4 linked regions of the Saccharomyces cerevisiae S288C genome follow. The protein of the gene in region 1 binds, or shares a complex with, the protein of each later gene. Each region holds a gene or a part of one and is shown in the gene's direction. Other genes may lie near its edges. The genes, in order: ESA1, EAF6, YNG2 and EPL1.

What was found.
Region 2: ESA1 (region 1) and EAF6 share a complex: the UniProt entries of both Saccharomyces cerevisiae proteins name them as parts of the nuA4 histone acetyltransferase complex.
Region 3: the proteins of ESA1 (region 1) and YNG2 are in contact, whole or in part, in a crystal structure (PDB 5J9U), measured with the Saccharomyces cerevisiae proteins. Residues at the interface, in NP_014887.3 of Saccharomyces cerevisiae: Asn226 (codon at 3,951), Arg242 (codon at 3,999), Lys243 (codon at 4,002), Ser439 (codon at 4,590), Gln440 (codon at 4,593), Trp445 (codon at 4,608); in NP_011958.1 of Saccharomyces cerevisiae: Leu5 (codon at 1,983), Glu8 (codon at 1,992), Gln9 (codon at 1,995), Ile11 (codon at 2,001), Gln12 (codon at 2,004), Ser15 (codon at 2,013), Asn16 (codon at 2,016).
Region 4: the proteins of ESA1 (region 1) and EPL1 are in contact, whole or in part, in a crystal structure (PDB 5J9U), measured with the Saccharomyces cerevisiae proteins. Residues at the interface, in NP_014887.3 of Saccharomyces cerevisiae: Ser153 (codon at 3,732), Met154 (codon at 3,735), Thr155 (codon at 3,738), Gln156 (codon at 3,741), Asn157 (codon at 3,744), Pro158 (codon at 3,747), Ala162 (codon at 3,759), Arg163 (codon at 3,762), Val164 (codon at 3,765), Arg165 (codon at 3,768), Ile171 (codon at 3,786), Gly173 (codon at 3,792), Lys174 (codon at 3,795), Tyr175 (codon at 3,798), Glu176 (codon at 3,801), Ile177 (codon at 3,804), Trp180 (codon at 3,813), Phe182 (codon at 3,819), Pro184 (codon at 3,825), Tyr185 (codon at 3,828), Pro186 (codon at 3,831), Ile187 (codon at 3,834), Glu188 (codon at 3,837), Leu189 (codon at 3,840), Thr190 (codon at 3,843), Tyr196 (codon at 3,861), Ile197 (codon at 3,864), Asp198 (codon at 3,867), Asp199 (codon at 3,870), Phe200 (codon at 3,873); in NP_116629.1 of Saccharomyces cerevisiae: Lys75 (codon at 3,918), Asp119 (codon at 4,050), Tyr120 (codon at 4,053), Ile121 (codon at 4,056), Pro122 (codon at 4,059), Thr123 (codon at 4,062), Pro124 (codon at 4,065), Asp125 (codon at 4,068), Ala126 (codon at 4,071), Ser127 (codon at 4,074), Met128 (codon at 4,077), Thr129 (codon at 4,080), Trp130 (codon at 4,083), Glu132 (codon at 4,089), Tyr133 (codon at 4,092), Phe136 (codon at 4,101), Tyr137 (codon at 4,104), Thr138 (codon at 4,107), Gly139 (codon at 4,110), Ser140 (codon at 4,113), Phe141 (codon at 4,116), Glu143 (codon at 4,122), Thr144 (codon at 4,125), Thr145 (codon at 4,128), Ser146 (codon at 4,131), Tyr147 (codon at 4,134), Ile148 (codon at 4,137), Lys149 (codon at 4,140), Phe150 (codon at 4,143), Ser151 (codon at 4,146).

The regions. Positions count from the first base shown.
Region 1 is NC_001147.6:789,256-797,356, forward strand, and holds ESA1 (NuA4 histone acetyltransferase complex catalytic subunit ESA1), read left to right. Parts: upstream 1-3,275; coding exon 3,276-4,613; downstream 4,614-8,101. Other genes in the region: SSP2 (Ssp2p), read right to left, coding at 1-602; pseudouridine synthase PUS7, read right to left, coding at 956-2,986; DGA1 (diacylglycerol O-acyltransferase), read right to left, coding at 4,821-6,077; ENV9 (Env9p), read right to left, coding at 6,546-7,538. UniProt on the Saccharomyces cerevisiae protein: Catalytic component of the NuA4 histone acetyltransferase (HAT), a multiprotein complex involved in epigenetic transcriptional activation of selected genes principally by acetylation of nucleosomal histones H4, H3, H2B, H2A and H2A variant H2A.Z.
Region 2 is NC_001142.9:580,790-585,925, reverse strand, and holds EAF6 (Eaf6p), read left to right. Parts: upstream 1-3,670; coding exon 3,671-4,012; downstream 4,013-5,136. Other genes in the region: TMH11 (Tmh11p), read left to right, coding at 489-806; YJR084W (uncharacterized protein), read right to left, coding at 922-2,193; ACF4 (Acf4p), read left to right, coding at 2,389-3,318; AIM24 (Aim24p), read left to right, coding at 4,310-5,136; YJR079W (uncharacterized protein), read right to left, coding at 4,687-4,873. UniProt on the Saccharomyces cerevisiae protein: Component of the NuA4 histone acetyltransferase complex which is involved in transcriptional activation of selected genes principally by acetylation of nucleosomal histone H4 and H2A. The NuA4 complex is also involved in DNA repair.
Region 3 is NC_001140.6:278,911-286,595, reverse strand, and holds YNG2 (histone acetyltransferase YNG2), read left to right. Parts: upstream 1-1,970; coding exon 1,971-2,819; downstream 2,820-7,685. Other genes in the region: arginine--tRNA ligase MSR1, read left to right, coding at 1-1,757; H/ACA snoRNP pseudouridylase subunit GAR1, read left to right, coding at 3,298-3,915; rRNA-binding ribosome biosynthesis protein RPF1, read right to left, coding at 4,214-5,101; RTC3 (Rtc3p), read right to left, coding at 5,441-5,776; YHR086W-A (uncharacterized protein), read right to left, coding at 6,204-6,365; NAM8 (Nam8p), read right to left, coding at 6,872-7,685. UniProt on the Saccharomyces cerevisiae protein: Component of the NuA4 histone acetyltransferase complex which is involved in transcriptional activation of selected genes principally by acetylation of nucleosomal histone H4 and H2A. The NuA4 complex is also involved in DNA repair.
Region 4 is NC_001138.5:84,983-94,040, reverse strand, and holds EPL1 (Epl1p), read left to right. Parts: upstream 1-3,695; coding exon 3,696-6,194; downstream 6,195-9,058. Other genes in the region: FRS2 (phenylalanine--tRNA ligase subunit alpha), read left to right, coding at 1-542; BUD27 (prefoldin-like protein), read right to left, coding at 665-3,055; BST1 (Bst1p), read left to right, coding at 6,807-9,058.

The DNA.
Region 1 (8,101 bases):
TCCGGAGTATCGTACCTATAGACAATAATTCTTTCTAAGGAACCTCCGCGTACTTGAGACAATACACTAGAGATGCCTGTGCCGCGCGGTATATCGTTTAATGAAATTGATCTTGTTTTGAGAAGAGCGGGATTCTGAGAACCTGCCGTTTTCTCATCAACAACCTCTGATTCTTCTGAATATACTTTTCCCTTGAAAATTAAATCCTGATTAACGTATTCTCCATTCTCATAAAATTTGTTGACGGCTGCTTCTGTTTGCTTATTACTGTCATCATCTATGGGAAAAAAACAACCCTGTGAATGGTGCTGCCTTTTCCAAAGCTGTTGATCGTTTTTATCTTCTTTTTTTAAACGTCTTTTGTTTACATTTGCCCCAACTGGTGTATATGAATCTGTACCACATGAACCTATCTCACGACCAAACAGATATGCTTTTGCAAATCGTCTAAAACCTATGAATTCGTTTCCATTCGAACTAGACGAGTCATTGAAAAATGAAAAAAAAGATGATCTTCTCGATCTCAAAGCTTTCTTCCTCAAACTTCCAGAGTCTTTATGCTTTTTATAAACTTCTGTGTTTGAATAATAGTTCTTGTACATTTGACCGGATTAAATGCTTCGTATTTTATTATTATTTTACCTTCGTTGGATTCCCGACTTCAATACGCGAGAATATATCTGTCTTTTTGTTTATAAAATATTGATAGCTACAGTATAATAATTTTCCTCTATTAGGTCCTTCTTGTTGAGAAACGTGGTTGTATCCTTTGATAAGATATATCTAGAAGGTGTTGTTTATATTTAAAAAGGCTTTATCTTTGTGTGCGATGCGCAGATACATATTTACCGACGCCTGAAGTGACACGACACGGACACAACAATAGTGTATGAGGGAAAGAGCTTCCGACAAAAAAAGTAAACTAATATACATGAATATTGCACCTCGTATAACCTTAGATATTCTCCTTAACATCACACATGTCGCCACGGCGAGAAGTCTCAAGCTTCATGAGTTCACGTAATGCCATGGTGGCATATGCGGAGGTTCCTAATTGAAATTTTAACACCACCGCAGTCTTCTCACCGCCTTTATCTGGCATATATCTGTCCAACTTGGCTTTCATATACTTCTGGCCGCTTTCTTTTGCTCTGGTGTTATTCAGGATGTCCAAATCAGTGTTCACCAATTGTTGAGAAGGATCATCATAGTGAATTATTCTATACTCTAAACTCTTTGGCTTTTGAATAACAGTTCTATAAGAGCCAGCCAATGAAAAATCGCGAACTTTTCTTCTCATATTAAATGGGTCCATATTATCTGCTTTCAATATATCCACATACAGTTGCTTCAATTCTTCGTTGGAAGGATAAAGCACATCAAAACCCGGCGATGGTAACACGACATCTTCCATGGTATACTTAACTGAGTCGATATCCTCTTGAGTTACTGCTTTTGCACGAATGAACTGAGCTTCACGGACATCTTCATCAAAGTCTTCATCGTCAATCCCAGAAATTAGTGGTGACTTTTCACTAGTATCAATGACAAGGTCACCTACAACTAACTTCAAACCATGTAGTTCTATCCGCTTACTAGCAATAGAATTCCAGACGTAACTTTGGTAGGCATGTACATACATAGTTCTCAAATTTCTGGGAATTTTCATAATAGCAGTATAATAAGCGTTCTCAGAATAAGTTCCATCTTCTTCTTTTCTTTGATTAGATAAAGAATATAGTAACGCATTTTCTGCGAGACACTGTCTTGGCATCTGCTTCAATGCTAAAGCCGCGTCCTTAGTTTCTGCCCAAATCTTCCTAGCTTCCTTAGATTTAGGAAGCACGTTATCCTGGTCAGATAAAATCAACTCAGCAGCCTTCTTCCAGTTTGAAAGGAGCAATTCTCTACCAATTGTGTGCGTAGAAATACTGAATGTACCGAATCTCTGCATACCAAAATAATTGATAAACCCATTTTCTGATAAAGACTTACAGCCGTTAGACACAATTTCTTCCAGTGATACCTCACTATTGCCGGTGGTAACATCTCTAATAACAACAACGAACTCATTTCCCTTCAAGTCTCCCAGATTCAAACTTGCATCCGAAAAATTGTAATTTCCGATAATCATTCCTTTTAAAGTCCTATTTAAAGCATTTAGTCTATCCAAACCAATCTTTGAAATCGAAACCCTTTGGCACGTTACTGCTCTACGATCCTTAGTACCTGCATATCTAATTACACGGCTTGGAACTCTTAACAACTTTGTTATAACATTGACAGCTTCCATAGTATCCTTATTTTCTTTATGTAGAGTGAAGTGAATAAAATCTTTACTGGGACCATATCCCCAATTTTCTACACCGTTAGCGTCCCTGGTTTGGTTAATTTTCTCTTGTTTATTGGTTCTTGAATTTCTATTTGATCTTGCAATCTTAAAAGTGTTAGTATCAGTAGTCACAGATTCTAATTCATTTTTAAATGCCTCACGTAACAGTTGGTGAATTTTAGTTCTAACAGATTTATCTTCGAAATTTTTTGCCGTTTCCATTTTATTAGCCGTGCGATAAACGGATTCTATTTTCAATACATCTTCCTCACCAAATATCTCCACCAATTGATTTCTTAATTCGGGGTCGACGTTGAATTCTTGTCTTCTAGCTGCTTCAGACTCCTTTTCTGCATTGACCTCTTCTTTAGAGCGTTGTGGTTTCTTTGGCATTTTAAATCCTTTATCAGTTAAGTGAATGACCTTACCTTCTTGATCTATTTCGTTGACCAAAAAGTCAGTATAACGCTGCTTAATTTGGCCTCTAAATCCTGGCAATTCTGGAGATAAGAACAAAGTAATACCGACATCTGCTTCGTGAATACCATCTGCCTGAGTACGTTGCTCAATTTTCAACTTCTTTGCAGCATTTTCGGAAGGTCCTACGTGAGCATCAAGGGGTCTCTTTACAGTGGCTTCTGAGGAGTCAGACATGGCATGCAACAGATATTGCTTTTTTCCTTGGGAAGGAACAACGTGATTATAATTAATCGATGAGCTGTACCTATTGACTATTTCATCATTATTATAATGATGGAAAATTTTCCAAATTACTACCCGCCCGTTGAAAAGATGAAAACGGCTTCCGGCGGAGCAAATGCAAAACGAATATTGCTAAAAGGTGTATATTATTATAGTAATCAAAGGAGAATAGAAAAGAGCTTTACCATTCTTTAGACGCTTCCTGTGCTACCATTCTCGGAAATACTGCAAGAAATCATCGATGTCCCATGACGGAAAAGAAGAACCTGGTATTGCCAAAAAGATAAACTCAGTAGATGATATTATTATCAAATGTCAATGCTGGGTCCAAAAAAATGATGAAGAACGATTAGCTGAAATTTTATCCATAAACACAAGAAAAGCACCACCAAAATTCTATGTTCACTATGTTAATTACAACAAGCGTTTAGATGAGTGGATTACCACTGACAGAATAAACCTGGATAAAGAAGTACTATATCCGAAACTAAAGGCTACTGATGAAGATAATAAGAAACAAAAAAAGAAGAAGGCAACAAATACTAGTGAAACGCCACAAGACTCTCTGCAAGATGGTGTAGATGGTTTCTCAAGAGAAAATACGGATGTTATGGACTTAGATAATCTAAATGTACAGGGAATAAAAGATGAGAACATATCACACGAGGATGAGATAAAAAAGCTTAGAACCTCCGGCTCTATGACACAAAATCCACATGAGGTGGCTCGAGTTAGAAATCTCAATCGAATCATTATGGGGAAATATGAAATAGAACCATGGTACTTTTCTCCATATCCTATTGAATTAACTGATGAAGATTTTATATATATCGACGATTTCACGTTGCAGTATTTTGGATCTAAGAAACAATACGAACGCTACAGGAAGAAATGTACATTAAGACATCCGCCAGGAAATGAAATCTACAGAGACGATTATGTTTCATTCTTTGAAATCGATGGTAGAAAGCAAAGGACTTGGTGTCGAAACTTGTGTTTACTTTCCAAACTTTTCCTAGATCACAAAACATTATACTATGACGTTGATCCGTTTTTGTTTTATTGCATGACGAGACGAGATGAGTTGGGTCACCATCTGGTGGGATATTTTTCCAAGGAAAAAGAATCCGCGGATGGTTACAATGTTGCATGTATCTTAACACTACCACAATACCAAAGGATGGGATATGGTAAGTTATTGATTGAATTTTCGTATGAATTGTCGAAAAAGGAAAACAAAGTTGGTTCTCCCGAGAAACCTTTGTCTGATTTGGGTCTCTTATCCTATAGAGCCTATTGGTCGGACACTCTCATAACGCTATTAGTGGAACACCAGAAGGAAATTACTATAGACGAAATAAGCTCCATGACTTCGATGACCACTACAGATATATTACACACAGCAAAGACACTGAATATCCTGCGATATTACAAGGGTCAGCATATTATTTTCCTGAATGAAGATATTTTAGATAGGTACAATCGACTTAAAGCCAAAAAGAGAAGGACAATAGACCCTAATAGACTCATATGGAAACCACCGGTATTTACTGCCTCTCAGTTACGCTTTGCCTGGTAAGCTATGTAGTGCTTTCCTAAACTTACATTCAAACAACTTCTAATGTAAAAGCTTTAAATAAATGAAATTTACGTAAAACAATCACTAATATTCAACGAGAACTCCAGTATTCCTGTAAGTTAATACTCTTACTTAAGATATACAGCCCAAACACTAAAAAATCCTTATTTATTCTAACATATTTTGTGTTTTCCAATGAATTCATTATTACCCAACTATCTTCAATTCTGCATCCGGTACCCCATATTTTTCTCTATTTTCGTAATATAGTCTTTTCAACTCCGCAATATACAAATCATGGAAATGATTAACAACATCATCTGGCGGATTTGTTATTTTCTTTTCAACGTATATAGGCCTTCCAACAACAACATTGATAGGCGCTCTAAATGGCAACAAACCGAAATCGTAATTGAATAATCCTCTTGCGTAGAAAATGGGAATGGTAAAACCAAAGTTTTCTTTGAACCATAGTTGCATTTTACCCAGGACTGAATCTTTTTTTGTGCTCAGAACATTATAACAGTCCACCTCTCCAAATGCAAACACAGGCACTAGGTTAATATTCCCCGTTTGAATGGCCAGTTTAATAAAACCCTTTCTTTTGTTTAAAATCAGTTGTGTACCATTTGTTGAACTTAATAAAGATTCCCTAGCGCCACCAACAACAATGCAGATCGACTGATTTTTGCTTAGAGTCCTTAAAGCGTTTTTCCGAGATACTGAAGAAATACCTAACGCCAATAAGTAGTCTCTATACAATGGGATATGAAATTGTGTGACCAGTGTCATCAGAGAAATAGGAATACCTGGGAAAATCTTGGAATAGTTACAACCTTCTGTTGCAAACGCTCCAAACGCACCAAGTGCTCCTATGCCGTGTGGATGGTAACCAAATAAGTACGTTGGCCCTGTACATTCCTGGTTGCGATAGTCAATAGTAGAGTTGCTTTTGAGATTAATGGAATACTTAGTTGGCCACAATCTAATCTTGTAATTTTTTTCGTTAACTCTCTTATTTTTTGAAAGCGTAAAAGTTGGTTTTAAATTGACAGTTTTAATCAAACTTATAGGGAAATAATCACAATACCACTTCCAAATGGGCAATGAACGAAATCGAAGAGAGTATCGATTTACCACTTCGCCAGTTGCAGGAGACCTATCGAAAAAAAAATAAATCATATATGGAATAGCAAGAACCCACAGTGCTGGTGTCGAGATTGCAAATAACGTAAATATGGAGAAGAGTACAAATGAAGAAGTGTGCCATGCTACAGCCAGAGTTTGTAACCTTCTTTCAAAAGGGGTCGCCAATGGACAGCATGACTCTAGTTGTGGTTTGAGAGTCTGTTCTCTTTTATCGATGCTTGACAAAGACTTATTCTCATGCCTTTCGGTAATACCGGCTGTAGGGCTTCCTTCTTCCTTCTTCCTTCTTCTTATATCATTGAATGTTCCTGACATTTATGTGACTGTTCAAACTGTATGCCTCTGCGTTTCCTTATGTATATGTAAGTGTATGTGTAAATGGAAATGAGATGATAGTAAACCTCCTTAATGGAACAAACGTGATCTGGGATAAACAGGAAAAAAAAAAAACTTTGGCGGAAGTGTAGTGAAAGATCCAAGCCTGATAGACCACTGTCGTGCTTGGTTAAGTACAGAAATGCGGTGGAAGTACTGGTCTGCTTTGAGGAATAAGTTTCCAAATTCAGTCTTCTCTTTTTCTAGCCTTCCCATTACGTCAATGCTGACTGAATCTATCAATTGAATAAAAAACGCACATCATAAGCCTTTGTCGGCCCGTAACTTAGTTGCCTGCAGAGAACAAAGTACAGAAAAACTTCTTGCTCTGATTACCAGTTACAATAACGACTAACTAATATTTAAATAAAATGTACATCTATCTACTCTTTCAATCTTTCCGTCTTGTTATATATCGAAACCACGGTCTCTTAGTTGATGAACGGTCCAGATCCAAGTCGATGCCGCTTCGTCGACATTGTTAGAAACGTAGCTCGATTTAGATTCTTTACCCCCCGTGGTGAAGTACTTCCCGTTATCTTTTTCGACAGATAAATTCGGGTCCAATGCACACTTCAAAGAAGCTAGTGAACCTTGTTCGTTCGATACGCCGAAAAAGAACCCTACGACCTGGAACAACAGCCAAAAGAAAATACCGACGATGGGTAACCTTGTCCAATAACTGAATAAGTTTGTGTTCATCACCAGACCCGGATGAACGGAGAGACAAAGAACGTCAGGGTATTTGATGGCCAACATCTTCGTGCATTGGATTAGCGCGGTTTTACTCATCGCGTACCTAAACCATGTGAAAAGCATATTAGGTTTGTAATCCCACGTCTTGCTCAGTTTCCAGTACATGAACTCTAGATGATGGCCTATCGAGGACAGGGAAATGATCCTGCCACGACAATGGCGCAGTAAAGGCAATAATCTCATCGTGAAGATGAAGTGCGAAATGTAGTTAGTCTGCAATTGCACTTCAAATCCGTCCTTCGTCATTTCTAAGGGCACCGCCATAATCCCTGCATTGTTAACAAGCACGTCTATGTGGTCTTCCAGCTTGAGAATTTTAAGTGCCGCTCTCTCCACACATTTTAAGTCTGTCAAATCCAAATGGATATAGTGCAGTGACCCTAGACGCTGAATGCTTGGACCTGGGCCCGCGCCTGGGCTTGAACCGTCGTCATCTTCATGGCACCTCTTCTTTGCTTCTGCCAGTATCTCCTGGATTGCTTTCGAAATCTTGTGAGAGTTTCTCCCACAAATATAAACGACAAACCCATGCAAATACAAATGCAAGACAGTATACCACCCAATACCCGTATTTCCGCCTGTTACTACAGCAATCTTCCTCTCCACAGCCGGGTCGTAGTATGGCAATATTCGTGGGTCTAACATTCTGCCTTTGGCGTATGTCTCGTACTGCGGATGCCTCTAATACCAATCAGGCCTACAACCATTGTCTTCCCCGTTTCTACAAAGACAATAGTGTGTGTGCATTGTAAGTGATGCATCATGCACCATAATGATTTGTTTATATATACCCATGTACACTTGGGTCTCATTTCCTCAATTTTTTCATATCTTACCCGCATATCTTTTCTTTCAATGCCCTACTTCTATACTTCAGGGTTTTCCAAAAAAAAACAGTGATTAAGCAGGGCGGCATTTTCTTTATCTTGGGGCTTAGAAGACGCGAAAGACCTGTGGCTCAATACCTTTTTCGGAATATGTCAACAACACGAAACGCCAAAATTCTTGGCCCTGATTCAGGTACCGCGGGGGCCACGAATTTTGGCGTTCTGTGCAGGAATGACGTCTCTGCCGATTATGAAACTAAACAAGGTATGCTATCGGAGGTGGTCTGAGTTACTCGACAGATTTTTCTGACGAGAGTGAGTGTCGTTCGAGATATTTAAGCTCCAAAATATTTCCCTCACCTAGCTTACATTTTGGTTTAT
Region 2 (5,136 bases), on another chromosome or scaffold:
AGGGAGACATTCACTCATCACATTGACAAATCATATTATATAGTGAAAAGCGTACGTAAATTTTGACTATAAAGCAAGATTTCAAGAGTTGCAGATGATATTAAGACTGTCATCAAGCCGGAAGAGAAGCTAGTACGAATATTTCTTGTCGTTTTTAATTTCTCTCTTTATACTCGTTCCAAAATTGTACGATGGCTGCAGTAAAACTGGTAATCTAGGATCACTACTGAGCATATTAGCATTAACGAATATTTCACTACCGAAATGCATATACTCTATTAGTTTTTTTTTTGTAAAGGAAAGTTATCAACATTCATTTTGACCCAATAAGTATTCAGAGGTTAATATTTTAGACGTGTCGCGCCCTACGGGGTTGATGAAAAGGTGGTATTTAACGAGAAGGGGGAGCAGATCACATGAAGTTATTAGGTAACAGCGGGAGACAAGACAGAAACGAAGTTTGAGAGAAAGGAACATCAGATCACACTATGGAACATCCAGCATATACATTGAGTCTTTTGACTACAGCCGGTGGCCTTATGGGATACTACCGTAAGGGCTCCATTCCATCTCTAGTATCTGGCTTAGTATTCGGTAGTGTATATGGGATTGCCGGTTACTTGCTACATATGAATAGAGATGGTGGGCTCGAAATGGCATTGGGTGCATCGACCTTACTACTTGGTGCTGGTGTCATAAGAGGCATGCCTTCCAGGTTCACTAAACCTGTCCCTGTCGTTTTGACAGCTTTGGGTGGGCTCGGCAGTTACTACTATTATAACAAATACAAGGAATTTTACCCTTAGAGAAGGAAGAAGACGCACGATATATATACGACCCTATATATATATATAATATGATATTCTTTTATGAACAAACTTTCTTTTTTTTTTCTTCGTTCAATTATTGACTATTTTTCTATCATTTGCTATGGGGAAAGGGCTCCTTCTTACTGAAAACGATGCAGCGGTTGGAGTGAGAAAGATAAGCACGCAAAAGCCCACTTGCTATAGCACTTGCTAGACGGCATTCTAGGGCATCCAACTGCTCCTCTTCGTCCTCATTGGCAGAACTATCGTGTTGTTTTGTTGCCAGAAGAATTTTCAAGGGCATGATACTTTTCCGATCATTCCCCCATTGCCAACATCGTTGTACCAACCGAGTGAAGACCACCTCTCGAAGTAATGTGATGACGACATGCAATCCTTGCGAAAGGAAAAATCTTTCATGGCTTGCTGCGGTAGCCTCGTACAGTGACAGGTTCCCTGAGATTACGCTACGCACTAATGTCGGATAAACTTGACTTAAGCGCTTACTCCTAGTAATTACTCCGGCGATTACTGGATGATCCCAGTGAGGGTACAACCTTTTAGTTAAAAGAGCAAGCGGAACCAGCAGTATCATTATCTTTTCCATTTGGCCCTGTAAGACGAACTTGCCGGTAGATTCCACATATAGCATTGGACATTGCAATAATGCTTCATTTAAATGGAAGAACCCGCGTTCGTGATCGTTTTCCAGACATCCGTAGTATTGACCTAGATAATAATTATACAACACCACTTGAGACTTATGTTCCATTGCCAGGCTTTTATTCAACGGTGGTATATCCCGGGCGTTCACTCTGCTCTCGAGGACTTTCACTAAATTTTTAATCATATCTTTATTACTTAACCGATGGTAGATGGAAAACTCTAGATTAGCAAACATATAACACCCGATTTTTTTATTTTCATTCAATCTTGGGTTCCTATCATTGAGGCATATAGTAAAGCTTCTATGGATAGTGCGTCCACATTCCTCAATTGAGTCTTTATTAAGTTCACTAGATTCGTTTGCCAGACGAATTAATTGTTTAGCCATTACCCACAGCGGATAAATTATCCAATTGGTTTCTCTTTCTACTATTCTGTTGAAAAGTTTCAACTGTTCATTGGCTAATCGCAGCAATTCCTCAGTAGCATTCTTGATCCGCCCTTGCTTCTTCAATGACCTCCGCTTGGAATACTTCAATTTTAGATCTACTCCTAATTGGTAAAACCTTTGTAATCGTACACTCTCTTCATCTGTCGCCGTAGGCCTTTGTAGTATATATTTAGTCTTTTTAGGTGTTTTAACGTCATATCTGATGAAGTCTAACAGTTTGTCGTCATAGCGTTTCTCTTCAAAATAACATCCTATATCAACATCCATGATTGGTTGTAGAAACCGTTGCTGGACCTTTCTGTTCCTGTGTAACTCTCTCCAGACATTCCTTTACATACAATTTTCTTTTTTTTTCCTGACCTTTATCGTTAGCTTTTTCAAAATCAAAAACAATACGATTGAGGAATACTACTAACTAGCCAAAAGCAATACAAAATACATCCATACATACGCCCTAAAGTAATGTCAGAAGACCAGCGTGTAATTAGTCAACCAATTGAATTACATAAGCTGTCGATTGTCGATAAACACTCCCAAGGACAGCAGCAACAGCCGCATCAAAAACAACATGAAGTGCAGCCTGAATCAAAATCACCAAGGGTTACGACACCTTTAAAGCCCAAAAGACTTGCTATACCTATATCAAGTCCGCAAAGATCTACGACAAATCAGTCACCCGTGAGCGACCACGCAAGTCCGATTTCAACAGACCAAGATTTAATATATAAATTAGCTGCAAAACACAGAGAAATCAATGAACTTAGTTTCAAATTAGAGGTCGCCCAAAAAGAATTAAAACAATTAGAGTTACAGTTCAAAGATACACTGCCCCGAAATGGACAACAGAAATTAGGTAACCAGAACCCAAGTGAATACCTCTCTACTTTTACCAAAAGAATTCAACAGACATTTGTGGACGTAAATAATTCACCAAATATGCTCAAGGGAAAAAAGAGTATAAACGATTTTTTTAGTAAGCCCAATAATAATGTTAATAGCAACATAAATAACACTCTACCCAATCGTAAACCGAACCCTCCGCCTAATCGGTCACAACGTATGCAAAATATTGCTCCAAGCCGTAGTTCAGAATCAACTCCAACATCGGGTCCTCCCTTGCTACCCCCAAGGAATACTATGAAGAATGCTAATACCACGGCAACTGCTGGGGAGAACACACCATTCTTACAAAGAATACTTAACAAATTCAATCAAATGAATATGGAAGAGGACGAATTCGATGACCTTTTGGAAAAGAGGAAAAGTAAGAAAGATCACTATTACATAAAAGAAAATTTGGGTTACGAATACGATGAAGTACGCAGTGAAGACGAGGATGATGAAGAGTTTGAACCCATGGGTGACATACCCGTTCATTTATTTAAAAGGTAGCTAATGTCCACTATTGATGCTTTCTCAAGAGACCTTCATATGTAATATTCTCATTAAATACAAAGATTAAACGGCTTCATTTATGCATTCCTTTATTTAGGTAAATTTTTTTTGCCCGATTTTTGGTACTACTGCTTTCCTTTTTTAAATGTAATTGATATTTTTAAAAAAACCTCACATGTAGGCGATTAACCCAGGTCCTTCAACAACTTGCCGACTATGCCATTAAATTAATGATTAAAGGTGTGTAAAGCCACAACGAAAGCAAAGAATATACGTAAGATAAACATCTTTAGAGAACAGCCATTTTCCATCATCTTTCCGTTTGTTACCAACCTACGCCTAGAAGAAAATGACTGATGAGCTGAAAAGTTATGAAGCATTGAAAGCGGAACTAAAAAAGTCCCTCCAAGATAGAAGAGAGCAAGAAGATACCTTTGACAACTTACAACAAGAGATATATGATAAAGAGACCGAGTATTTCTCACACAATAGTAATAACAACCATTCAGGTCATGGGGGAGCCCATGGGTCAAAATCACACTATTCTGGTAACATCATAAAAGGGTTTGATACCTTCTCCAAGTCACACCACAGCCATGCAGATTCTGCATTCAATAACAATGATCGTATTTTTTCATTAAGTAGTGCTACGTACGTGAAGCAGCAGCATGGCCAATCACAAAACGACTAATGCGATAGCACACGTTGGTATTTACGTTGCTTGACCGCTCTAAAACATCTGATTGAAAAGAAAAAGAGAGAAGAAGGAAATGATTTCGACAGGTGACCTTTAAGTTCGATATACCTACATATTGGCTATTTCTTTTATTTTTCATTTTCTATAAAATATCTATATAAGTATTTTTATAACGATTTACTAACAAGGGCAAAATTTCAAAGGTCCCGTGCTCCCAGTCATTTTATTGGCTGGCGAATAAACGGATACAGATAAACAAAACAGAAGCACAGAAAAGGATATCCACCCATCATGATAAGCCCAAGGGTGAATACTCGAGTTTGGCAGAGATCAATTTCTCTTTTGAGCCCACAAGCGGCCAAGACGGAGAGTAATGTCGTAACTAAAGAAAGGACATATATCGAGAACTTAAGCAAGGATATTGCGACTTCCCGTTTCAGGCTAGTAGACGAAAATGGTAAAATTGCATCTATCACTGTTCAACCAGATATTCCAATTTGTATCAAAAAGGATTGCCTAGTTTCCATTCACAATTTGAACCATTTATCCCTTTCCTATAAATGGCTGAATTTTTGGTCAAACCTGATTAAATTTCGTTCATTCAAATCTTCATTGTTTCATAGAATTATTGGATCCTCCGTTTTAGAAATTCTGGCTGCCCCAAACTTTCAAACATCGAGAAGACCTTTCGATTCTTCAAGAAGCTTGTCCGTACTGAATTTGACCGGGACAAAGGATTGGAATGTATTTGGCAAGGATTCAATTATCGCATTTGAACAGAACTCCAGTCTGGAAATCAAATCGCCTATCTTTCCCTCTGCAAGGTCTTTAGTCTCGAACTCATCAAAATCACAACTACCACGGAAATTTCAAATTCTGAATGGGAGAGGAAATGTGTTAGTATGTGGAGGTGGGTTGGTATATTCAATTGAGTTAATTGATGAAAGCGACAAAATTCTGGTTAATTCCAGAAACATTTTGGCCATCAACGGCCAAAGTCAATTGGATATTGCAAATTCAGTGGAGAGACAAGAGTTACACGTGGAAGGCGCGTACGTCGGAGATTCAAGTAATGATACGGTGGCACCTAAATTCATTAAGAACCAAACGCTAAAATC
Region 3 (7,685 bases), on another chromosome or scaffold:
ATACTGACCAACCCGAAGGCCCAATTTATCCTTTGGATGTACTACGCCTAGACATCTCAAAAGCACTGCATGATATATCCGGAATAGACCACTCGCTAATACTAAATGCGCTTGAGTCGACAAATAGTATGGATAGAGGTGATCTACTGCTACCTCTTCCAAAGATAAAAGTGGCTGACCCTGTGGCCGTTGCCAACCGATGGGCCATTGAACTAAGCACGCATGGGTGTATTGGAAAGGTTTGTGCAAAAGGGCCATTTCTTCAGTTCTTCCTGGACCAGCGGTATTTGATACAATCAACGGTACCAAATATATTACTTCAAAAGGGGAAATATGGTCAGAAAAAATCTCGTCATCAGAAAAAAGTTGTAGTAGAATTTTCATCACCAAATATTGCCAAACCATTCCATGCAGGCCATTTAAGATCGACTATAATAGGTGGATTCCTTTCAAACTTATATGAAGCAATGGGGTGGTCCGTTACACGTATGAACTACCTAGGAGACTGGGGCAGACAGTTTGGTTTGTTAGCAGTCGGTTTTAAGAGATACGGCGATGAAAAGACGTTACAAAAGCAGCCAATTCAGCATTTATTCGACGTCTACGTTAAAATCAACATGGACCTTGCCAAGGAAGAGATAAACGGAAACTCTAAGTGTGGGATTAGCGGTGAGGCCCGTAGTTTTTTCAAAAACTTAGAAAATGGGGATGAGAATGCCATTAAGATATGGAATAGGTTTCGCTCGTTATCCATCCACCACTATATCCAAACTTATTCACGTTTGAACATTAATTTTGATATATTCTCCGGTGAATCACAAGTGTCTAAAGAATCTATGAATGAAGCCTTAGATATATTTCGCAAAAACAATCTTGTTAAAGAAATAGACGGTGCCCTTGTCATCGATTTAACCCAATGGTCGAAAAGATTGGGCAGAGTTGTTGTACAAAAATCAGACGGAACAACTTTGTACTTGACAAGAGATGTAGGGGCAGCCATAGAGCGTAAAAAGAATCTACATTTTGATAAAATGGTGTACGTGATTTCCTCACAGCAAGATTTATACATGTCCCAGTTTTTTATGATATTAAAAAAAATGAATTTTGAATGGGCAAAAGACTTGCAGCATATAAATTTTGGTATGGTGCAGGGCATGTCGACCAGAAAAGGAAATGTGGTATTCTTAGATACCATACTAGACGAGGCAAGGGATAAAGCTCTGCAAATTATGGAAAATAACAAAATGAAAATATCTCAGGTAGATAATCCACAGCGTGTTGCAGATTTAATTGGCGTATCTGCTATCATTATTCAAGATATGAAATCAAAGCGTATCAATAACTATGAATTCAACTGGAACAGAATGTTGTCTTTCGAAGGTGACACAGGGCCCTATTTACAATACACACATTCCAGACTTAGATCTTTAGAAAGGACCTCCAGCGACTTTACGACGGACATGCTAATACACGCAGATTTTTCAAATTTAAATGAACCACAACTAGTTGAGCTTGTGAGGTTGCTAGCGCAGTATCCAGATGTCCTTAGACGAGCATTCGAAACTCAAGAGCCGGCCACGATTGTAACATATTTATTCAAAGTTTGCCATCAGGTCTCCTCGTGCTATAAAAAAATATGGGTTTCCGGAAAACCTGCAGATATTGCCATACCGCGACTCGCCGTATATTCAGCAAGTAGACAAGTGTTACACAATGCAATGTCGCTTTTGGGACTAGTCCCGGTTGATAGAATGTAATTATATGAATAAGCTAGCAAATGCTAGATTAATTTAGATTAAGTTTAACCAATTTATAAACATGTAAATAGAAGAAAGTTTATTGTTACGTACAACGTGATATTTTCCGATTTTCCTTTAATTGATTCTTGAATAACCCACCTACCGTTAGTTGAAATAGAAACAAAGAAGAAGGATATGCAAGTTTATATTGGACAACATAACCAATAGAAGATGGATCCAAGTTTAGTTTTAGAGCAAACGATACAAGATGTGTCCAACCTCCCATCAGAATTTCGTTACCTCTTAGAGGAGATCGGTTCAAATGATTTGAAGCTCATCGAAGAAAAAAAGAAATACGAGCAAAAAGAATCACAAATACACAAATTTATAAGACAGCAAGGCTCAATACCGAAACATCCACAGGAAGATGGGCTTGACAAAGAAATAAAAGAATCACTTTTGAAATGTCAGTCTTTGCAAAGAGAAAAATGCGTTCTGGCGAACACTGCCTTGTTTCTAATTGCTAGACACTTGAATAAGTTGGAAAAAAACATCGCTTTATTGGAGGAAGATGGTGTTCTAGCCCCCGTGGAAGAAGATGGAGACATGGATAGCGCTGCTGAAGCCTCTAGAGAAAGTTCAGTTGTGAGTAACAGTAGCGTGAAAAAGAGAAGAGCTGCATCAAGCTCAGGATCCGTTCCACCCACTTTGAAAAAGAAAAAAACTAGTCGAACATCTAAACTGCAAAATGAAATTGACGTTTCTTCAAGAGAAAAGTCTGTTACTCCAGTGAGCCCAAGCATTGAAAAGAAGATTGCAAGAACAAAAGAATTCAAAAACAGTAGAAATGGTAAAGGCCAAAACGGTTCCCCTGAAAACGAGGAAGAGGACAAAACTTTATACTGCTTCTGTCAAAGAGTTTCGTTTGGAGAAATGGTTGCATGTGATGGACCCAACTGTAAATATGAATGGTTTCATTATGATTGTGTAAATTTAAAAGAACCTCCGAAAGGAACATGGTACTGTCCCGAATGTAAAATTGAGATGGAAAAAAACAAACTGAAAAGAAAACGTAACTGAACAAAAATACCTTTTTGAGACTGAATGACCTCATTTACACTAATAATATTCCATAAGCCAGAAACGGTGATTGCTATTCTGACAATGTGCTTTTCGAAAAGGAGAAGTAATTTCGAGACATCAGCTAGCAAGGACATATACGATTGACATTTTTGAATGTACTTTCAAATACTTGTGAATCAAACTAAGATATGATTCCTGCATATTCAGGTATATACTATATATTTTAATTTCATTAGCATATGTGTCATACGGTTTTTAAAACTTATGAGCAGGAAAAAGGTGTCACGTGATCAGATGGTCTTTTTTTCAAACTTTGACGTCGGAATTTTTTGTAGTGAAAAATTTTTCGAGATGAGGAAAGGAAGAAAAAATTAATTTGTTAGCCTTATAACGTGAGCACCTTTTCGATAGAGTATCTGATTGCTCTCTTCTACCAAAAGATCACCTGAGGATAATTTTTAACCAAAAGAAAATAATGAGTTTCAGAGGAGGTAATAGAGGTGGCCGTGGCGGCTTCCGTGGCGGCTTTCGTGGTGGACGTACAGGCAGTGCTAGATCATTTCAACAAGGACCACCAGACACTGTTCTAGAAATGGGAGCTTTTCTACATCCATGTGAGGGTGATATTGTTTGCCGTTCTATCAACACTAAGATTCCATATTTCAATGCGCCAATATATTTGGAAAACAAGACTCAAGTCGGTAAAGTTGACGAAATATTGGGTCCATTAAACGAAGTATTTTTCACTATCAAGTGTGGTGACGGTGTCCAAGCAACCAGTTTTAAAGAAGGTGATAAATTCTACATTGCCGCTGACAAACTATTGCCTATTGAAAGATTTTTACCTAAGCCTAAGGTGGTAGGCCCACCAAAACCAAAAAACAAGAAGAAGAGAAGTGGTGCCCCAGGTGGCCGTGGTGGTGCTTCAATGGGTCGCGGTGGTAGCAGAGGAGGTTTCAGAGGAGGCCGTGGTGGTAGTTCTTTCAGAGGAGGCCGTGGTGGCAGTTCTTTCAGAGGTGGATCTCGTGGCGGATCATTTAGAGGAGGATCTCGTGGCGGATCTCGTGGTGGTTTCAGAGGAGGTAGAAGATAATCTAGCTAGAAAAAAATAAAAAAAAAAACCATCCTTTATCTTTCACAATTCTTCATTTCTTCCAACTTACTATATCTGCCGAAGCACGTCTAACGTCGAAAAAAAAAAAAAGAAATTACCGTTTGTTCTGTATACTATATATATATATATTTGTTTGATTGATTTACCTGTAATAAATTGATTTAAAATGAAAAAAAGAGAAATTCAGTAATACCAGAAGCCGCCGTAGTTAAACAAACGACCACGGTTCTTACGGTTGTCTTAATATTATATCCATACAAAGTTTACGAATGGAACACTATAAATAAAACTTTTTCTTTTCTTTGTCCATCTCAGGTTTATGCTCCCATTCAGTTTCTTCCTTAATACCCCTTTGCAATCTTTTCAACTTGAGGGTAAATTGTGGACCCAGTTCTTGCAAACCAACCCTTTCATTATCTTTGAAGACATACCGATGCCTTCTGAAGAAAATGTAATCTCTTTGATTATGTAGGGTGATAACTTGTCGACCTTCAATATCAGGATTCTGAGGTAAAATGGACTGAAACAACCTACCTACTGTTTGACCCAATCTGGTCTGGAAATTATTTAGAATCAATTCTGGAATATGGCTAGTTGGTCTACCATGACCGACAATTTTCTTCACTTCAACAAATGATGATAATTTAAAATAAAAAGTTGGGCCCTCTGGCAGATGTATGAATGTTAGGCCAGTAACCTTTTTCTTGTCCTCGTTGATTATCACGATGTCAGTGAAATTCCTTTTTATACAAATATCAGATATTTCCTTCAATTTGTAGCCAAATTTTCTTTTCACAAATGTGACGTTTGGTAAAATTTCGATTAAAATGTTAGCAAATTCATAAGCGCTCTTCTTAGCGTTTACATTTGTGGTCAGAAAGATCTTTGGTGGCTCATTAGAATTGCTGTTGAAGTATCTCATCAAATCGTCTTCATCTCCCTCCACTTCCTTGTTAATGGTCTCATCGTACACTCTAGTGTTCTCTATCGTCTGTGTTACGTTCTCTTTTAATCTCTGCTCCCGCAGCTCCGGATTCTCTCTCTCTTCCTTAGCTCTCTTTCTTCTCATGGTATGGCGCTCTTTATTTTTTTCATGTTTTATATCAGCAAAAATTTCTTGCCTCTTTAGCTTGTTTGTGATGTTTATCTCATTACCGAGAGCCATTTTTTAGTATTTCAATATATTAAGCCTGCTTTACCTCTTCCTTAGGTGTTCAATCGTAAAGTATAGCTTATGGCATCGCATTTCTTTTTACATCTCATCGCTAAAAATTTTACTTTTCCTTTGTATAAATAATCATGTGTGACGAACGCGAAAATGAAAAATGCACTGAATTAAATGTATACAACGTTATATAGATCGTAAATATGTATATTGAAATATACACCTTTTTGTTCTTTCTACTACTGTAAAAGAAGAATGCATGCGTTATGACAGGGCAGCACGCCAATTTAACTTATTGCATATTTCAATGCAGGCTGTCCAGACAGAAGGAAAAGCTACTCAATTGTAGGCTTTGGTTCCGGCGTTACCCCCTTTGGTTTTGAGACTAGAGGTGGTAGAGTTTGGCTTACCATTTCTCAATATCAAATCGATAACTTCTTCGATCTTCTTGCCCTTACCGAACTCATTTTCCACTTGGGCCTTGGAGGCAGCGCCCAACTCACCCTCGGCACCCCTACCGTCCTGAGGAGTGAAAACTTCGAAGAGTTCGACAACTTCAGATAGCTTACCAATTGATGGATTTTTCAAATATTCGTCTACAAGCTCTTCGGATGCAGCGAAGACAATCAAATCTGTATTTTCACCCTTGTAAAAGTATTTGGTTACAGTAGACATGTTGATTTTATTTTGTGTATGCGATGGTTTTCTTATTTTTATCAGCTTGTTCAAAGTATGAATTTGTTGATAGCTGCTTTTTTATTAGTCAAGAATTGAGTTTAAAGAACATTGGCTTGTGATCATCATCGAAATTGATTCTCATCACTTAAATATCTTTTGCTCCCTGTTTCTGGCGATCCCTTCGACTAAATAAGGGGTCGTTGTTGTTACGTACGGCCCAACAGGGTAGTGCCTGCTCTAGCGTCGAAGTTAGAGGAAAAGAAGCTTAGAGAATAAAAACATTTACTAGTAGTAAGGGGTCTTATTGTCAGAAAGGGACAATTGCGTGGGCAGTATTTTCAAAGAGTGGCTTTCTTCTTCTGAACGGAGTTTCAACCTGCGCTTTCTTTTCCTCCTGCTAGGATTTATTTGTGAGAAAACGAAACTAGCTATAGAAACGCGTAGCACCGGCAGGCCGAAAACCGCTACTACGTAAAGGGGAATGAAAATGGGCCAAATTTGGTGTAAAGATATAGGAGAAGAGACACGGAGTAGGAATTCGCCGTGCCCCTATACAGAGACAACATGAATAGAGAGACAAACGCATTACGTAGTCTTGGAAGATAGCGCAACGGGAAATCTTGACACAGTAAGAAACATTTACAGTATAATAATACTAAAAATAAAATTAAGATACATCAATATAAAATTTTCGACAAATACAGAAAAGAACAGAGAAGAAAAAATGAAGGTGACGCAAAAAAGGAATTGACAGGCCGTAATGAGTAGTGATGGAAAGAAGGTAAATGGAAGTAATAAAGGAAAATCATAAACATGCTTAAAAGCGTACAATCTTGAATTGAATTAAGAATAACAATAACCTTGAAAGAAATGAAAATCAAAAGGAAAAACGCAACTATAACGATACAAAAAAGACTTAATAAAAGGACATGGAATCTTGAAAACGATAAAAAGCAATGAAAAAAAGAAAATAAAGCGCTGTTATATCACCGTCAGCCTAAGACCAAATACAATTTAACACTGAAGTAAAGAAAATACCAAGAAAGAAAAAGGGCCAAAAGGAAAACAAACATTTTTATATACACGTGTGGCTCAAGCAAACATAAAACCATTACTGCCTTGTTCCAAACGGTTTAACATTGCATTAGTGCTGTTAACAACCGCTTCGCTTCCTTGCATGATAACTTGTTGGCCACCCGTGCCTGAGAGGTCCATAGAGCTAGTGTCAGCCAGTAAACTAGTAGCTTGCGTATTTGTAGCATTATTATTACTGTAGAAACTGAAATTGTTCGAGCCTAATCCATTCGCATTAGCGTATGGATTAGAATAATTCAGAATTTGACATCCAGGAAGCATCGTGGATGAAACATTATTATCTGGCAGAACAGGTGCTTCACACGTACTGGATGGAATGTATCCGTAGTTAGGTTGCTGTAAACCTGGTTGCTGTTGTTGAACCTGTAAAGAGTTACTTAACATGGCTTGCTGAAGCAACGCTGTTTGCTTAGCAGACCTGCCCCAAGACAGTCTAACTCTTGAATTTGCAATGGGGAACCCTTGCATCCCAGCAATGGCAGCCTCAGCCGATAGCCGATCAACATACTGGACAAACCCGCAACATTTGCCTACCGGAATTTTGACATAGACTATCGTGCCAAAAGGTTGGAAATAAGCACGTAATTCGTCTTCAGTCACCAGTGATGACAATCCTCCGATAAACACAGTGGTGTTATTCGGATCAGTGAAGTGGTTTAAAGACGGCTGCTGTTGGACTGGATAAATGAATTGAGACATATGGTTTCTCTTAAAGCCCATGTTATTATTTCCATTGCTTAAAAATGATTGACCCTTGGAAAGAAATCTCGAGTCTACATTTTCGTTGTTTAGTGACGAAGAACTACGGTTG
Region 4 (9,058 bases), on another chromosome or scaffold:
AAAAATTGGTCTTGAGAACTCACTCCACAGCCATCTCTGCCAGAATGCTGCACGATTTGGCCAAAGATCCAAAGCCCACCAGATTGTTTTCTATCGACCGTGTTTTCCGTAACGAAGCAGTTGACGCCACCCATTTGGCCGAATTCCACCAGGTGGAAGGTGTTCTTGCCGACTACAACATTACTCTGGGTGACCTGATCAAGTTCATGGAAGAGTTTTTCGAAAGAATGGGTGTCACCGGTTTGAGATTCAAGCCTACCTACAATCCTTACACCGAGCCATCAATGGAAATCTTTTCTTGGCACGAAGGTTTGCAAAAATGGGTCGAAATCGGTAACTCTGGTATGTTCAGACCAGAAATGCTCGAGTCCATGGGTCTACCAAAGGATCTAAGAGTCCTTGGTTGGGGGTTATCCTTGGAAAGACCTACCATGATCAAATATAAGGTTCAAAACATCAGAGAACTGTTAGGTCATAAAGTCTCTTTGGACTTTATCGAAACCAATCCTGCTGCTAGATTGGACGAAGACTTGTACGAATAAGCTCAGCAGTTCCTCTAGTTTTATATCGTCTGTCCCCAATTTTGTAGTAGTTATTGTACACAAAACAAATATATACGTATATGTTAATATAGATTCTGATTTACTTTCTGTCTCCATATGGGTTATGGTTTACTGTCCATATGGAGCCGTTGAGAGCGGAAACGACTTGTCTTGACCGGGTTCCCGAACTTATCAATAGGCTCCAATTCGCCTTCAGTGTGTGCGGCGGGTGATGATGATTGCCATTTCGACGCGGTAGCTTCTTTCAACCGTCTGTACTCTATAGCAACCTCTTCCTGTAGCCGGCCCGGATGTAGTGCTACTTCGTCCTCGTCATTTGTGTAACTTTCAGGAAATTCATGCTCAATGATATCATTCATAACATTGCCATCATTTTCCTCCTCCTCCATCGTCACTGGCTTGTTTTCTAGTTGAAAGTCTCGAATTTCGTCACGCAGCAACTCCACCTGCTTATTGTATTCTTTGAAATCCTCGAGCTTTTCCACTATGGTTCCTGGATCTTCCTCTAAATCGTCGTCATATAACCCCAATGAATATGCCTTGACCATATCATCCAAGTTTCCACCTAGGGCGTGATAATCGACATTTGTAATTCTAACCGGCTCACTCCCTACTGTGGCGCCCGTCTTAGCCATCGACCTAGACACCTCTTGGATTTTTGAAGGAAATTTATCTTGCTCATCAGTGTTATTTTTACTTTTGTTGGACAAAAGTTTCTTATTACCATCGTCATCATCATCATAATCGTCATCACTTATATTTTCGAGAATTTTGGGATCAAATTTTTTTTTCATTGATTTCGATGATCTTGGTTTTTGCAGTGATTTTAGCTTTTTCTTTTTAAAAGGAGTCTCAAACTCGCTCTTGCTGTTAATTTCCGGTTCTTTTTCCACTATATCGTTGATAGTAGGTTCTTTTTCTATAATATCCCCCACAACAGGCTTCCTTTCCACTATATCGTTGACAGCAGGCTCCCTTTCCACTATATCGGTGACAGCAGGCTCTTTTTCTATAACATCCCCCACAACAGGTTCTTTTTCTATAACATCCCCCACAACAGGTTCTTTTTCTATAATATCCCCCACAACAGGCTCTTTTTCCACTACCTCGTTCTCCACTGACCTTGTCGTTTCCTGTTTGAAAGTTGATAACGTATTTTCTTTTTTAGAAGCTCTATCCTTCCGGAATCTGGACACCCTAGTTCTTCTATTCGACCTGCTTGCTTCCCCTTCAAGTCTCTCTTGATTTATCAGTTCCTCTTTATATTTTTCATGCACTTCATCGGCCTCTTGGACACCCAACATCTTAGCAAATAAATCACCATCAAACTCATCCGATGTCATTTTATTAGCGATACCTGTGCTTTCCTGGGTTTCATACATGGGCACCGCAAAGGATTGCATCTGCCTCTTGTTCTCTTCTTTCAAGTTTTCGACTTCGTGAATTTCTAGAGAAGATGCAAACCCGACTTGTTTCTTTTTCTGCTTTTTGTCTGAATTCTCAGCAAAAGAAGACTTTTTCAAAATAGGTTTTAATGATTTATTAACGTCACCTTCTTCCCTCTCATGATCTTGGGATTGCTTTTGTGCGCGTAGGCGTTGAATTTGTTGTAAAAATGAGGACTGCGCTTCAAAGCCAGGTATAATAGAATGATTTAGATACTCTTCTTCATCTTCGTCCTCGTCATCCTCTTCATAGTTATCATTGACTTTGAAATTGGAGTTTTCGAACGCATCATAATCATAATTTATTTCATCAGTTTCAATATAGCCGTCCTCCAATTCATCTTGTTGGTCCATCTGTTGGACCAAGTCGGCAAATGTATACACGTTTTCTGTATCTACTTTAGATGGCTGCACTTTTTTCTTTACTTCATCGTTCCTTTTCAATAACTTTCCTTTCAAGTTTTCTTCGAATGACTTTGATTTCTTCTCCTTTGCTAATCCTTTCTCCTTTGGACCGACTGCAGGTGTCTGTTCTTTTTTGGAATTCGATTGTGATGGTTGCTTTGTTGTAGGGGTAACGGAACTACTTATGACATTTCCCTCGTCATCTAGTTCTTCTCTAATCTCCATAGAGGGCAGAAAATCTTCGTCGTTGTTCGCTTCGTCTTCTTCAATTCCATTTCCGTCCTCCATGTGATTCAAGTTGTCTAAGGTCTTTTTAGCCTCTTCGATCTTCAGGTTAAATTGCTCAATGGCGTCCTCCATTAGTTTTAATTTATCATCAACAAACGTGATGGCCTCCTCTTTGGTCTTTTCAACGTAATACTCATAGCCTAGACTTAGATATATCTTACTCGTAGAAATTATGATATCACCAAACACCATCCCTTGGCCTTCGCCTTCTTCTTCGCCATCATCATTGTCATTGATAAATCTAACCAGTCGGCTTCTGATATCTATATAGTGCTCTCTTTGTTCCGAAAGAAAGTTTCTCTTATCTTGCAGATTTTTCAACGTACTTTCTACGCTGGCCGCTAACAAATCCATGGCTATTACAGTCTGAGGATACCTGTTTACTATAAAATTCTACAGAATATTCATACAACACTCTCTGTTAAAACCTTTAAGAGCAGCTCATCGCCTATCCTCCAAGGATAAATTTCAAAACACCCAAACATTAGGGTTACCCGTATATCGCTACTTCTTCCCATACTCGCTCACCATAGTTAGCACCCCATACCGCAGGAGTAAGCGAGAAACAAAGGGATAGAGGAAAAAAATTTTCTCCGTCGGCCGCGGGTGGCAAAAGCACGATCCGACCACAAAATTGTACTATTACATATCACATGGTATAGCATACAAGCAATACCTGTGAGAGGTTACTACACAAAAGCAAAAAAGTTTGCAAAAATCAGCCAAAACTGTGCTCGTATTCTGGTGGTCATTAGACACTCGCAATATTATTACACCACATCGCGTTCCTCTGAGCTGCTATAATAAAATAAACGCTATCTATTTTTGACTCCTCTTTTTGCCACCCTCGCCTTCCTTTTGTCCATATTCTCACATTGTACGGCAACTGCGGACTTCAGGTCAACATAAATAAAAATTGCACACGATAGGGTAACATTATAGTCACGTGCTTATAAAAACATTGTAATAACATTAGCAAATAACGATAATAACGATGCCGACACCTTCAAACGCTATAGAGATCAATGACGGTTCGCATAAATCTGGTAGAAGCACTAGGCGGTCTGGATCTAGGAGTGCGCACGATGACGGTCTAGATTCATTCTCAAAAGGCGATTCAGGTGCTGGAGCCAGTGCTGGTAGCAGTAATAGTCGATTTAGACATCGAAAAATATCTGTGAAGCAACATCTTAAGATATATCTGCCTAACGATCTGAAACACCTGGATAAAGATGAATTGCAACAGAGAGAGGTGGTTGAGATCGAAACTGGTGTAGAAAAAAATGAAGAAAAGGAGGTCCATTTGCATCGAATATTACAAATGGGTTCTGGTCATACAAAGCACAAAGACTATATTCCGACCCCGGATGCTTCTATGACTTGGAATGAATATGATAAGTTTTATACGGGCAGTTTCCAGGAGACCACCAGCTACATCAAATTTTCTGCCACTGTGGAGGATTGCTGTGGTACCAACTACAATATGGATGAAAGAGATGAGACCTTTTTAAATGAACAAGTCAACAAAGGTTCATCAGACATTTTAACTGAAGACGAATTTGAAATACTTTGTTCCAGTTTTGAACATGCTATTCACGAGCGTCAACCATTCTTGAGTATGGATCCGGAAAGTATACTTTCTTTTGAAGAATTGAAGCCCACATTAATAAAATCAGATATGGCTGATTTCAATCTAAGAAACCAGCTGAATCATGAAATAAATTCTCATAAAACACATTTTATCACACAATTCGACCCCGTATCTCAAATGAATACGAGACCTTTAATTCAGCTGATAGAGAAGTTCGGCTCTAAAATTTATGATTATTGGAGAGAAAGAAAAATTGAAGTTAACGGGTACGAAATTTTTCCGCAGCTGAAATTTGAAAGGCCGGGTGAAAAAGAAGAGATTGATCCCTACGTCTGTTTCAGAAGAAGAGAAGTGAGACATCCGCGGAAAACAAGACGTATAGATATCTTAAACAGTCAGCGTTTAAGGGCGTTGCATCAAGAATTGAAAAACGCGAAGGACTTGGCCCTGCTTGTTGCTAAACGTGAGAACGTTTCCCTAAATTGGATTAATGATGAATTAAAAATATTCGATCAAAGGGTAAAAATTAAGAATTTGAAAAGATCTTTGAACATTAGTGGAGAAGACGATGACTTGATTAACCACAAGAGAAAACGCCCCACGATTGTTACGGTCGAACAAAGGGAAGCTGAACTAAGGAAAGCTGAACTTAAGAGAGCAGCTGCTGCAGCAGCGGCAGCGAAGGCAAAGAACAATAAAAGGAATAACCAACTTGAAGACAAATCTTCTAGGCTCACCAAGCAGCAACAGCAGCAACTGTTACAGCAACAACAACAACAACAGCAAAATGCCCTTAAGACTGAAAACGGAAAGCAACTCGCGAATGCATCCTCTTCTTCAACATCACAGCCAATTACGTCTCATGTTTATGTCAAACTACCATCTTCCAAAATTCCTGACATTGTATTGGAAGACGTGGATGCTCTATTGAACAGCAAAGAAAAAAATGCAAGAAAGTTCGTTCAGGAAAAGATGGAGAAACGGAAAATTGAAGACGCAGATGTCTTTTTCAACTTAACGGACGATCCCTTTAATCCTGTATTTGACATGTCGTTGCCTAAAAATTTTTCGACTAGTAATGTTCCCTTTGCATCTATCGCGTCATCCAAGTTTCAGATAGATAGATCTTTTTATTCTTCACATTTACCAGAATACTTGAAGGGGATATCTGATGACATCAGAATATATGATTCAAATGGCCGTTCGAGAAACAAAGATAATTACAACTTGGATACCAAAAGAATCAAAAAAACTGAACTGTACGACCCATTCCAAGAAAATTTGGAAATTCATTCGAGAGAGTATCCAATAAAATTCAGGAAGAGAGTTGGTAGATCTAATATTAAGTATGTTGATCGTATGCCAAATTTTACAACATCGTCGACCAAGTCTGCATGTTCTTTAATGGATTTTGTAGATTTCGATTCAATCGAAAAAGAACAATATTCAAGAGAAGGTAGTAACGATACTGACTCGATTAATGTTTACGATTCCAAATACGACGAATTTGTCAGACTTTACGACAAGTGGAAGTATGATTCTCCACAAAATGAATATGGGATCAAGTTTTCAGATGAACCGGCAAGACTTAACCAGATTTCAAATGATACTCAGGTGATTAGATTCGGAACAATGTTGGGTACGAAGTCCTACGAACAATTAAGGGAAGCCACCATAAAGTATCGTAGGGACTATATCACCAGACTGAAACAAAAGCATATACAACATTTACAACAGCAACAACAACAGCAGCAGCAGCAACAGCAGCAAGCACAACAACAAAAGCAGAAATCACAGAACAATAATTCAAATTCTTCGAACTCCCTAAAAAAATTAAATGATTCGTTAATCAATTCAGAAGCGAAACAGAACTCTTCTATAACCCAGAAAAATTCATCATGAGCAGCACAACTTTGTACCTCTCGAACATCTTTCTACGCATTGGCATTTAACAAACCTGACATTCAAAGTTTACTACGAAAGTCGAGGCAACATTACTGAAGATTCAAATCACCGAAATGAACACCGATAACGCAATAATAATGAAAAAAAACAAAAAACAAAAAAAGATAACTACAATAAATTTCAAAAGAAAAATAGCAAGTATCATCCGGCTGTAATATTATCACCTTCACAAGACTACATATTTTTAACGTTTTTTTTAATTTCCATTTCACACGGTTGTGACCTTTTGATTTTTCGCATGATTTCATCCCAAATGCTTGATGTATTTAAGTTAGATTCATACTCTTATATAGACAATTGCATAACTCACTAGGTACCCTCAAATAAATGCATTTCTTCTTATTATCCATTTTTTTTTCCTGTATGGCGCGAATTTTGAAAAAGGTCTAAATATACCAACCAAGTCATAACAAGAAAAAGTAAAAATGAGTCTCAACACATTCCTTGCAGTTCCATCTGATAGTAAATTCACACTCGAAATACTCCCTCTACTTTAAAGCATTGGCCTATATCTTAGGCTTACCATCATACAAAAATCTTCATTTCGTTATGGGTATCAGGAGATTAGTTAGTGTTATAACGCGGCCCATAATTAATAAAGTTAACTCATCTGGTCAATACTCGAGAGTACTCGCTACGCGTGAAGACCAGGATAAAGCTTCCCCCAAATATATGAACAATGATAAGATAGCAAAAAAACCTTACACATATCGCCTTTTCTCTATTCTTGGCATTTTAAGCATTTGCTCGCTTTTATTGATATCGCTACTGAAACCTTTTAATGGTGCAGATGCTCCTCAGTGTGAATCTATCTATATGTTTCCATCTTACGCAAGGATCGATGGATTTGACGAGAGGTATACACCACTGGCACACAAGTATCATCTTTACTTGTATCGAGAACAAAGCGTAGACCGAGAACCTTTAAATGGTGATGAGTTACAACTTGATGGTATCCCTGTACTTTTTATACCCGGAAATGCAGGTTCTTTTAGGCAATGCAGATCGATTGCTTCCGCTTGCTCCAATATATATTTTGATTCCAATACCAGGGCGACTCTGCGTAACGAAAATGTGCGAAATTTGGACTTCTTTACGGCAGATTTCAATGAAGATTTCACTGCGTTTCATGGTGAAACAATGCTTGATCAAGCTGAATACCTAAATGATGCCATTAAGTACATCTTGTCTCTTTACGAAAGGACCCCTGATTACCCACATCCAAAACCGCAGTCAGTTATTATCGTGGGACATTCCATGGGCGGTATTGTATCCAGGGTCATGCTAACTTTGAAGAACCACGTACCGGGAAGTATAAGCACCATATTGACCTTATCATCACCTCATGCTGCTTCACCAGTAACCTTTGATGGTGACATTTTAAAGCTTTACAAAAATACAAACGAATATTGGAGAAAGCAGTTATCCCAAAACGATTCTTTTTTCTCTAAGAACATTTCATTGGTTTCCATTACAGGCGGTATATTGGATACTACTTTACCTGCAGATTATGCATCTGTAGAAGATTTGGTTAGCTTAGAAAATGGGTTCACCAGCTTCACAACTACTATTCCAGATGTTTGGACTCCAATTGATCATTTAGCCATTGTTTGGTGCAAGCAATTAAGAGAGGTACTAGCGCGCCTTTTATTGGAAAGTATAGATGCCTCCAAACCTGAAAAAGTTAAGCCATTGAATCAGAGATTGCAAATCGCTAGAAAACTATTGCTTTCAGGGTTTGAAGACTACTCATGGATGAATAGTAAGTTAAATTATCCTCAAGAAAACTTACAAGAATTTAGTGACAACTTCTTTTCTGATTACGCTACTTTGGAAATGAACGATGTCCTAGATTTTGAAATGTTTAACCTGGAAAAGTGGCACAACAATTATACAAAAATAAATATTCCGAGTAACATCTCCTCCACTGAACACCTGCATTTCACATTATTAACTAGTCTCGATATGCCTATGATCTATTTCTGTACAGAGTCCAGGGTGAATCTAAGCTGTATAACAGCTGTTGATAGTATTCTAACAGTGCCCAGGTCTTCAAAAGATACTCAGTTCGCAGCTGATTCTTCTTTTGGAGAAGCAAAAAATCCGTTTAAAGCCGTTAGTGTTGGCAAGAATATACTACAGAAGTACGACTACTTGATGATAAGCAAACCCACTTACGGTGAATTTTCAGAACAAGAAGGCATGGAGGACAATCAGGGGTTTCTTTTGGCATTACTGCGCAACGTCTCCAATGTACAAATAGTCAATACTACACCTTCTCAAATATTGCTCTTTGGAGAACAACTACACTTGGATGGCAAAGACATCGAGCAGGTTATAAGTTTCAGTAATTTGTGGGATTCTTTATTATCGTACAAATTAGAAACCAAGATTGAGGCAAGCAACGAAGGTATTGCTTCCGAAGAGACATTGTTTCAGCCTTTCATAAGGCAATGGGTTTACGAACCTTTCGAGTCTAAATGGCATCTAAATATTATAAACAAAAGTCTCGATATAAATATGCATAATGTAGCACCGTTTATCCCATTAAATGAAAGCGAACCGAGATCGCTACAATTAAGTTTTTTTATTCCACCCGGAATGTCCTTAGAAGCTAAAATGACTATTAATTGGTCTTTAACTTTGAAAATGCTGTTTATCAGGTACAGATTAGCACTAGCATCTTTTCCAGTCGCGTTTATAGCACTCGTACTGTCATACCAGTTCTACTGGTACAACAAGACATCTGAGTTTCCTTCCTTTGATAGCACTTTGGGATATATTTTAAGAAAGCACGGAAT